2 linked regions of the Schizosaccharomyces pombe genome follow. The protein of the gene in region 1 interacts with the protein of each later gene in a biochemical or structural test. Each region holds a gene or a part of one and is shown on either strand. Other genes may lie near its edges.

Evidence for each region.
Region 2: the proteins of scm3 (region 1) and mis16 form a complex in vitro, tested with the Schizosaccharomyces pombe proteins (one study listed by BioGRID).

Annotation. Positions count from the first base shown.
Region 1 is NC_003424.3:1,859,217-1,864,425, forward strand, and holds scm3 (CENP-A histone chaperone Scm3), read left to right. Parts: upstream 1-2,590; 5' UTR 2,591-2,717; coding exon 2,718-3,728; 3' UTR 3,729-3,916; downstream 3,917-5,209. Other genes in the region: cell surface adhesion protein for conjugation Mam3, read right to left, coding at 1-925; mRNA export receptor Nxt1, read left to right, coding at 4,147-4,165, 4,218-4,546; protein dpc13, read left to right, coding at 4,756-5,144, 5,199-5,209. UniProt on the Schizosaccharomyces pombe protein: Centromeric protein that plays a central role in the incorporation and maintenance of histone H3-like variant CENPA at centromeres.
Region 2 is NC_003421.2:582,583-587,142, forward strand, and holds mis16 (histone H4 chaperone, CENP-A recruiting complex CENP-A chaperone Mis16), read left to right. Parts: upstream 1-1,543; 5' UTR 1,544-1,552; coding exon 1,553-1,637; intron 1,638-1,709; coding exon 1,710-1,815; intron 1,816-1,887; exon of another isoform or gene 1,888-1,903; coding exon 1,904-3,005; 3' UTR 3,006-3,311; downstream 3,312-4,560. Other genes in the region: SPOM_SPCC1672.11C (P-type ATPase P5 type), read right to left, coding at 3,324-4,560. UniProt on the Schizosaccharomyces pombe protein: Regulatory subunit of the histone acetylase B (HAT-B) complex. The complex acetylates 'Lys-12' of histone H4 which is required for telomeric silencing.

The DNA of each region.
Region 1 (5,209 bases):
TGATTAACGTGTAGGTGATAACACTAGAATCACTTGTAGCGGTTACAGTAGTAAACACACTATCAGTAAGAGTGGAAGATGTTTCCACTAAATAGCTGGACGAGCTTGAAGCTGGAGAAGACAAAGTGGAGGGTGTTGCGGGGATATCAGTAGAAAAGGAAACAGTAGCTTCTGAAGTACTAACAGGAAGTGTACTCGAAGCAGTAGTTGAAGCTGCAATGTCTACGGATGAAGAAGTATATGCCGATTCGGTAGAAGTGATACTTACAGAAGTAAGTGTTTCCGAACTGCTAACAGCAGGGGAATTAACAGATGTAGTCAAAATCACTGTATTTGTGGATGAAGATGAGTCACTGGGTTCACTGGAAACATAACTAACAGAACTAGCTACTTTCGATGAAACGCTAGCTGATGGAGAAAATACGGGTGTTGATGAAGGGCTCATGGATAATGTGGAAATTTGAGAGCTAACAGCCGTACCAGTAGGTGAGTTGATAACAGATGAACTAGTACTAGAAGAAATGTCTACTGTAGAAGTGAAAGCTTGACCACAAGACAACGTAACATATTCTGTAACAGTTTGAACTCTGTCAACGTATTCCGTAACGGTGGAAGTAGGATTGGAAGAAGCTGCATTATTAGAATTGCCAACAGAGTCAATTAAGTCTTGAATGGAGGAGTTGGAAGACCCGATAACACCAATTATAGTAATGTACTTGGCATCTAAGGTACTTAGAATCTCAGAAGCAGAGGTTGAGTTATAGATATTGCCAACTTCGAGAGGGCTTGATTGGCAAGATTCTAAATTAGAAGATGAAATTAAACCTACTGACCGACTGACGTTAAAAGTGTCATCAAGTGCAGATGGGGATGCCCAGGAAAATCCTAGCAAAACGAGAATAAAGAAAGCCAAAGCAATCGACATGACGAATTATGGGAAGATCAAGCGATAAAAGAAAAATTATAATTAATAATGTTTTTCAAAGAAGAAGAAAAGAAAGTATTAAAAAGAAGCAAGACTCAAATCAAAAGATAGATAAAAAATTGAGAAATGCGATGCAATGCAATGAGAAGTTATTTCAAAATTCTACTAGTCTGAAAAAAACTAAAAAATGAAAAAGCAAAAGAGTGTCAAAAGGTAATGAGGAATAAGTAGACGAGCGAATGGCAAAATCAGAGAGGTTTCAAAAAAATCGAGTTAAGTGATCAAAATTCCTTGCTGAACCTATTTGTCAATTGCAATACTAGTACTAAAACAAAGTCTTCGTCGTTCCCTTCTTTTTTTTCTGATTGCAGTTTCTTATTCAGCTTGCTTTACGAAACCTTCAAATGTAATGACAAATATGGAGCTCTATGCGGTTTTTTATACTTAGGATCCATGGTGAAGGAATACAAAGAAATTCGAGTATTTGAACTATACAATGCTCAAACAATGGTGTAGTGTTTTAAAGAAAGTGCAATTATGGAGTAGTTGAAAGAGTTGCGCTGTACTCAACTTCCTTTGTTTCATCGGCATGCTGTGCTATTCAGGTAACGGGTACGTTTATTGTTGGAGGGGAATGAGTAATTCCTATTGTCATATTCCATATGGTGTAGTAATTCTTTTCATGTGAATGCTTCGGTAAAGAAATTGTTCAAAACAAGCATACCGTAAGAAACTGAAACATGAAACGACTCGGTTTTGCTTCAAGTTATAGAAGACTGTGTTCATGAGACTAAGTCACAAAGAGCCAAAAATAGTTTATTTTACAATACGTTCCCTATCGTGTCCAAATTGTTCTGTCGTTTTGTTTAACATTTCTATTGTTCTCGCTATTGTCTGTTTCACTTGGCACTTAGTAAGAATGCAAACAATGCCGAGATCAATTCATCCTTTGTTCTAATTATTTAGCGATGATTTCTCCAATTCTATGTTGTAATGGAATTGATAATAGTTACTAGTTGGTACAATAGACACTTTCTAAAAGAATTCTATTGAGGAGCTGCGCTACGTATCCTCATATTTACATGAATGAACAATCAAAATATGGCTAAACTTGTCGAACAGAACGCTTTCAACTAATACGAATTATTTGTGAAAGAAAGCCAAAGAATCGTCACGCTTCTTTGGGGCGATGTGACAAATGGAATGCTCAACTTATGGGATTTTTTTATTAAATTGTGCAAATGATGCAAAGTAATATTCACCAAAACGAGTATCCTTATTTTCTTTATTTTAGGTATCGTTGATTTCTCATTTTATCATTAAAAAAGTAATGTGGAATTGCTATGTTCGTTGGAATCCACAAGGTATCGCAGCGTTCGTTATTATTACAAAATTGTATGTCTATTAATTTTATGTATTTTAGAAATTCTTAAACAGTATAGAATTAGTGCAAGAACAGATAAATCAGTCTTTTGGAGCAATGAGTTAATTTACAAGCGTTAAGCGACCATCATTGAAATTACACTTTTGCATAAACTATTCAAAAGAACTTTTCATTATCTTTTTTTTTTGATCTCTAAGTTCTAACAGAAATTAAATCTAAAAGTCATTCGTGAATTAGTTACGAAACTCTAATACAAGTCTACAGTTATGGCACCGTTCACTAATAAACCACTACTGAAATCGCTTTCCTACTAATAACTGAAAATCTCCAATTTTTGCCTTAAGAAATTTATTGGAAAGGATTTTTTGAACAAAATTTCTCAATACCAAATGATTTTAACTTTCAATCATGTGCAATCGTCAACCGAAAGCCGTTGACCTGCCTCCAAACTATTCTTGTCCACATCTGTTGTCTTTTCAGTCTGTCGAATTTAATACTAATCCTACGGCTTGTGATGATGTGTTTTGTAAAAGAATTGAGTCCGAAAAGAAGTACAACGACTTTTTGGAATCTCTTTTCAAAAAATATGGACGCGACACTTCTGATATAGCTGATGAAGTAGATCTTGCAACTGGTGAAATTATTGTTAATAATGGACATCTAGAAGCTTTAAAAACAAAAGATGATATATGGGATCCTACATTTAACAACCTTGAAATCTCAGCGTCAAATGGATACGAAAAAAAATTAGACTCAAGCATTGGCAACCCAGGGGAAAAAGCTGTTTCACCAGTCCATATAGAGGATTTTCAGTCTCCCCAGATCTATAAATTTAAAAATCTATCACTTCGTGATGAAATGGTGTCAGATTGTGTGTTTGCAGATGAAGTTCCTTTAGCTTCACTTTTTGTGGAAAATGTTTGTAATGAAACTATACCCTCTCAGTCATGCGTGAGACTAAAAATCAATGATAAAACAAGAAAAGTTGATGCTTCAGCTTTGGAAAAAAAATCTTGTCTGTTGCCAAACTCATCAGGAACATTAACAGATCAGCGTGGTTTGGATACAATCAAGCATAAAAGCATAGAACAAAATGAGATTTTGCACGTCATCTCTGATACTTTATCTTCACCGAGAAGAAGGAACCCTTTATTATCATCTCCTAAAACTCCTTTACGTAGATCTTTTTCTAAGTCAAAAGTCCGAAACTCCAATTCTACAAAACGAAGAAACTTTATTTCATTAATTTCAATGATATCCCCTCGACCTAATCTTTCTACCCATCATTTTAATCTTGGTTTTCAACCTTTAAGTCAACAAACTTCGTTCTCAGGAAGTAGCACTCAGAACCCTCATTCTTCCAGCACTTGTAAAAAAGCATTTTGTTTCCAATGCATTTCTGAGTCAAAAAAATGTTGATTCAGCTTTAAACCACTTATTCTCCCATCTTCTTCGCTTGCCATACCATGGCTTTTAATGACCTATTTCTTCGAACATATATTTATTTTTTGTTTTCATTTACAACAAATTGTCTTTCGAGTTATCATGTTACATTCGAATATATATTTTTTTACTAATATATTAATCATTCGTTGAGTTTTTACGTGATCTATGCTTTTGTAGTATGGCAAATGAGTACACATAATTGTTCTCCACTCTTCATGTTATAAGTAAAAATCGTAGTCATAAAGATATCTAGCCGAAATATCCATTCAGTGTGTTGAACAAAGATTATCTTTAAATATCGCTTAATGAGTACAATATTTCAATTTATAACACATGTACCTGTTTAAATGACTACTTACACCACTACAAATTTCTGTCATTGTGAATCATTATGGAGTCGAGTGTAAAATGTATGTTAAATGCCGCATTACTAAAGCTTTATCTATAAACTAACAATTAAAGATGCGCAGGAGTTCGTCCAACGGTATTACTCATCTCTTGATACGAACAGAAATGGGATCGCAGAATTTTACAGAGAAAATAGTTTGATCTTATGGAATGGAAAACCCATGCAAGTAACCGAATTTACCTCTATGATAGTTAATCTTCCATACTCCAAAACTAAAGTTGAGGATTTCGATAGTCAACAGGTCATGGGTAATGATATGAATATCATAATTGTTGTTTCAGGAACAATACGTTTCGATGGAAAAAAACCTCATGTATTTTCGTATGTCAGTTTTTATTGTATTTACCTTCTTGTACTAAGATCCTCTACTAACTTCCTTTAAGAGACAATATAGTTCTACAACAGGAAGAATCAAAGTATTATATTGCCAGTCAAAATTTTAGAATTATGAGTGAATAATACGTATCCAAAACAAAGATTTCATTTCGTTTAGAGTTTGTATTAATTTGCCGCAGCAAGCTTATCTGAGCGACACATTCCCTAATCCCTCATACTTCTTTAGAACACAAAATTAACCACCACCTTACAAATATGAAATATTGGAAGTATTTGTCTCAGCTGACTATCAGAAGGCCTCTTACATACAACAATGCTCTTCTGTATAGGAATAGGTTTCCTAGTATATTAACATGGAAGAGAAGTGCGACTACGCAACCTGACGACACTATTTTCAAGGATCCAGTAATGGATGAGCAAGTCCAGAAACTTGAAGAGAAAATGAGTTCATTAGTTGTTAATGATCCGGAACTTGCTCAAAAGGTTGGCCGTCTTCGTCAGTTTTTTGAGAAATACGGCCTTGAAGCTGGTTCAAAACCGTCACCTCTTACTATCCTAAAGATTACTCGTGATCCGGAATTCAAGCAGTTAGCTGAAACTATCACGGAGATATTTAAAAAATCTGGAATTCAAAATGATCCTGCGTATGTTTTTTTGAATGTATTCCATTGATTGTGCGAACACTAACATATCTATAGATTTTTGGAAC
Region 2 (4,560 bases), on another chromosome or scaffold:
ATTAAGGTGTATCCGACAACCAAGGTTTGGATGCTCGATTATGTAGGCAACACAAAAATTTACATGATATGGATAGATCTTTCATAGAAATACCTCTAAATTTTGATGAATTTACTTTAGCAAGAAAAAAAAAGAATGCAATGTTAAAAACTGTTACAATAATTATAAATATACAATGGGTACCAGAAGTCGCTATGAAAACATCTGAAGTAATAAGATTACGATCAACAACTCAAAACGTGCAAATATACTCCAATTATACTAAATTCCTCTCTTATAATTGATATACTGATATTAATTGCCTCCTCAAAATACTTAGCAAACGCAAGCATTATTCCAAAAAAAAGTCGAGACGAATAACGAGCTAGACCACTGTTGGCATGCATTTTAAGGCAATGCGGTATACAAATTCCTCAGTATATCAAAATAAATAACATTAGAAAGAAAGTACTCATCTGGGAATTTTTTTTTTTTAATTCACAACTATATTTAATAAATATTTTAAATTAAAATCAGTAAATTGCTATGATGAGGTTAAAAGAAATAAGAGACACGATTTGAATTGTACTGTTATCGAATAATTTATCAAGTTAGCATGTTAAAGTTTCCACGACAAGTACCCAAAAGTCTGACTACGTGCTATTAAAGCTAGCTAATCATATAAATTAAAATCAGCCAAAACTCATAGTCATTTCACAAGTTTCTCTTTTCAGCCATTGTTTACATATGAAATTTTACTTAGTCTCCAGAACATCGTTTCTAATACCCTAACCTAAGGTAAAAACCGTCACAACAAATTTACTATATATAGGGTCTGTTCAGTTGATGATTCACCATCATCAGTAGGTTTTAACTTACTTTGTTATATAAGTAAAGTAAAATCAATCCTGAAGTCAAGTATGATGGTTGGAGTCTCCGGACCAAGAAAATGCATCCGTTCCGTCTTCAGCGAAGAATTGAGTGGCTTTCCCGGTCGTTGACTTTTTTCCATGGGTCAAGGATGGGATTGTCTCCCAGACATTTTTAATTAAAAAAAGTTTATATTTGATTAGTTTAGATACGTACCCAAAGTTTGCAATACTACATGATTTGTTTAATAAATTTACGGTGTACTGTAAAACAATTCGTAGAGCCAACAGTATAAATATCCCATTGATGGCTGGGTTCAATAGTTTTATTTTTAGTGTAAATATAATGACAATCTGTTTATCAAAGTATACTGAGATTATAATATTTGTTTTTGCCAAATGGTTTTATAATTATTAGAGCATGATAAAGACGATGTTTGAGGAATTCTTCTCACTATGAATGTCTGTTTTCATGGAGACGTGGCATCAAGTAATGGTTTTTAGAGGCATGTTCAAATTTGTTTTCGCTCATTGAAACTTGTTTTCTATATCGCTGTTCATGAATTTTATTTTATTTTTTTTTTATTTCAGACTTAAGAGTGCGCTAGATTTATTTGGGCATCTTTAAATAATGTAAATTACTTATAACTCCAAAACTTTTAACTTGGCAATCTAGTTTGGGCCATTGTGTAGTTGCCCAAAACATGTCAGAGGAAGTAGTCCAGGATGCACCTCTCGAGAATAATGAACTCAATGCCGAGATAGACTTACAAAAAACAATACAAGAAGGTATGATTAAAGGGAATTCTTCATTAATATATATTATTATGCCGTAATTACTGACGATTATACTCGTTTCAGAATACAAACTTTGGAAACAAAATGTTCCCTTTCTGTATGACTTGGTAATAACCCACGCTTTGGAATGGCCTTCTTTGACAATTCAATGGCTTCCTGACAAAAAAACGTACGTTGCTTGCCAAAGTAGTTAGGCTATGATTATACTGGCCTTTACTTCAAACCATCTCATCAGTTTTCTAACTCGATTCTTGAAGAATACCAGGTACTGATTACTCTATTCAACGTCTTATTCTTGGCACTCACACATCTGGTAATGATCAAAATTATTTACAGATTGCTTCTGTGCAATTACCAAACTTTGATGAGGATACCACCGAGTTTACTCCTTCTACGATTCGAAGAGCACAGGCCACGGGCTCGTATACGATTGAAATTTCACAAAAAATCCCTCACGATGGCGATGTCAATCGTGCTCGTTACATGCCTCAAAAGCCTGAAATCATCGCTACCATGGGAGAAGGAGGAAATGCTTATATTTTTGATACAACTTGTCATGATGCCTTAACTACAGGTGAAGCACTTCCTCAAGCAGTTTTGAAGGGCCATACTGCTGAAGGTTTTGGTCTTTGCTGGAACCCGAATTTACCTGGAAATCTAGCAACAGGAGCAGAGGATCAAGTTATCTGTTTATGGGATGTTCAGACACAATCTTTTACTTCCTCTGAGACAAAAGTCATTTCCCCCATAGCCAAATATCATCGTCATACTGATATTGTTAACGATGTTCAATTTCATCCTCAACATGAGGCATTATTAGCATCGGTGTCGGATGATTGCACTTTGCAAATTCACGATACTCGGTTAAATCCAGAAGAAGAAGCTCCCAAAGTTATTCAGGCTCATTCTAAAGCCATAAATGCCGTTGCCATTAATCCCTTTAATGACTATCTTTTAGCAACAGCCAGTGCTGATAAAACAGTAGCTCTTTGGGACCTCCGTAATCCATATCAACGGTTGCATACCCTGGAAGGACACGAAGATGAGGTATATGGGTTAGAATGGTCACCTCATGATGAACCTATATTGGCATCCAGTTCAACTGATCGCCGTGTTTGTATTTGGGATTTAGAAAAGATTGGAGAGGAACAGACTCCGGAGGATGCCGAGGATGGTTCTCCAGAATTACTATTTATGCATGGAGGCCACACAAATCGCATCTCAGAATTTAGTTGGTGTCCAAACGAGCGTTGGGTGGTTGGAAGTCTTGCCGATGATAATATCCTTCAAATATGGAGCCCTTCTCGTGTCATTTGGGGTCGTGATCATGTTCAGGTTTCTCCTAGGGATCTGGAGTAAAGTTGGCCATAGAAAAAAACCCAAACTCACTTTTCCATCCTTCTACGCTTCATCTGTTTTTTGCAATATTCTTTACAATACAGAGTCATATGGTAATTGACTGCTCTCTTTTTTTCAGCTTTTGTATAATTTAAAACAAATGATCTTCGTCGCCTTGTAAATACATCAAAACTACTGTTATAAATCAGACTACATTTCTATAACACCAGAGATTAAATGTTTTGTTTGACCATGATAAAGTAAAAAGGATAGTAACTATTAATATTATACATAACAGCAAAAAAAATCTATTGAACAACAAAAGGGGGATAATATATCTCAAACTTGTTCATTTTGCAAGTCTGCGAATAGGCGTTTGTATAGTTTCTTCGAAACTTTCGTTCGGCGATTAAGTAAACGATTATTCAGGTGAGATATAAAATTGGTCATAGAAATGAAAATGTAATTTTGACCGCTGGCTGCGAGTAAATAATAAATAACACCAGCGAAGATCAAAAAGTTCTGGAAACTTTTGGACGTAGGCGTAAGTTGGAAAAGTTTCATAAAAAAGTTTTTATGATTTTGAAGTCGTATTAACTTAACGGTCAGGATCAACAAAACAACAACGACAGCTGTAAATGAATAGTTCCTCCAAACTTTTTCTCTGTAAGGAGGTCCTATGCTCAAAACCACTCCAATAAAAATATATTGGAAGCAAGAAATTAAAAACAGAGCAGTTACATCGCTATTTGTAATATTCGTATCTGAGCTATTCGCAGGTGGTGGTATATACCAGGGCTCTCTCCGTACTATCCTTAAGGTTATATATTGAATTATACAAATAAGGACGATTTGACCGATTAGAGGAGATAAAATACGTTTGGAAACCAAATTAGCGGTAGGTCTTTTGTGGGCCAAACGATGATAAGGTCGAGATCTCCCCATGAAAACCGCAATGGGAAGAATAATGACAAGATCAATAAACAAAAACTGGAAGTCTCCAAGATTTGAATTTGTTGTGTACAATATACTGACAGTGATAAATTGAATTGCAGAATACAAAGCCATATATTGGAAACAGCTAAAGCTTGTGACTAGAGCAGCTCGCCCATCTTTAATTACGTCAAGTACACAGGTAATCTCAAACCATTTACTAGTGAATGGAGCAGCAACTGACGCTTCTGCTTCAGAAAGAGATATTCCTACATCGGCTGCTTTCAAAGCACCACAATCATTCGCGCCATCTCCACAAAATCCGACACAATAGTTCAAATTTTGGAAACACGAGACAAGCTCATTCTTTTCCGATGGTGACATCCGAGCAAAAATCTGTGCTTTCAGTAAAATATGGTGAAAAACATTTAGAGGAGCATAATCAACTAACCAGCGAAACACATCACCAGTAAGTGCAATATGGAAATCCTTAAGTCTAGCAAGTTCTATAGAAACAGGCTCATGATCAGCGAAGTCAACATTCGGACGCAATGTATGAGGATCAAGAAATATTTCGTTATTTTCAATGGCCTGCCAAACTAGTTGACGAGATGCTTCATCCGCAGATTCACTCTCTTCATCA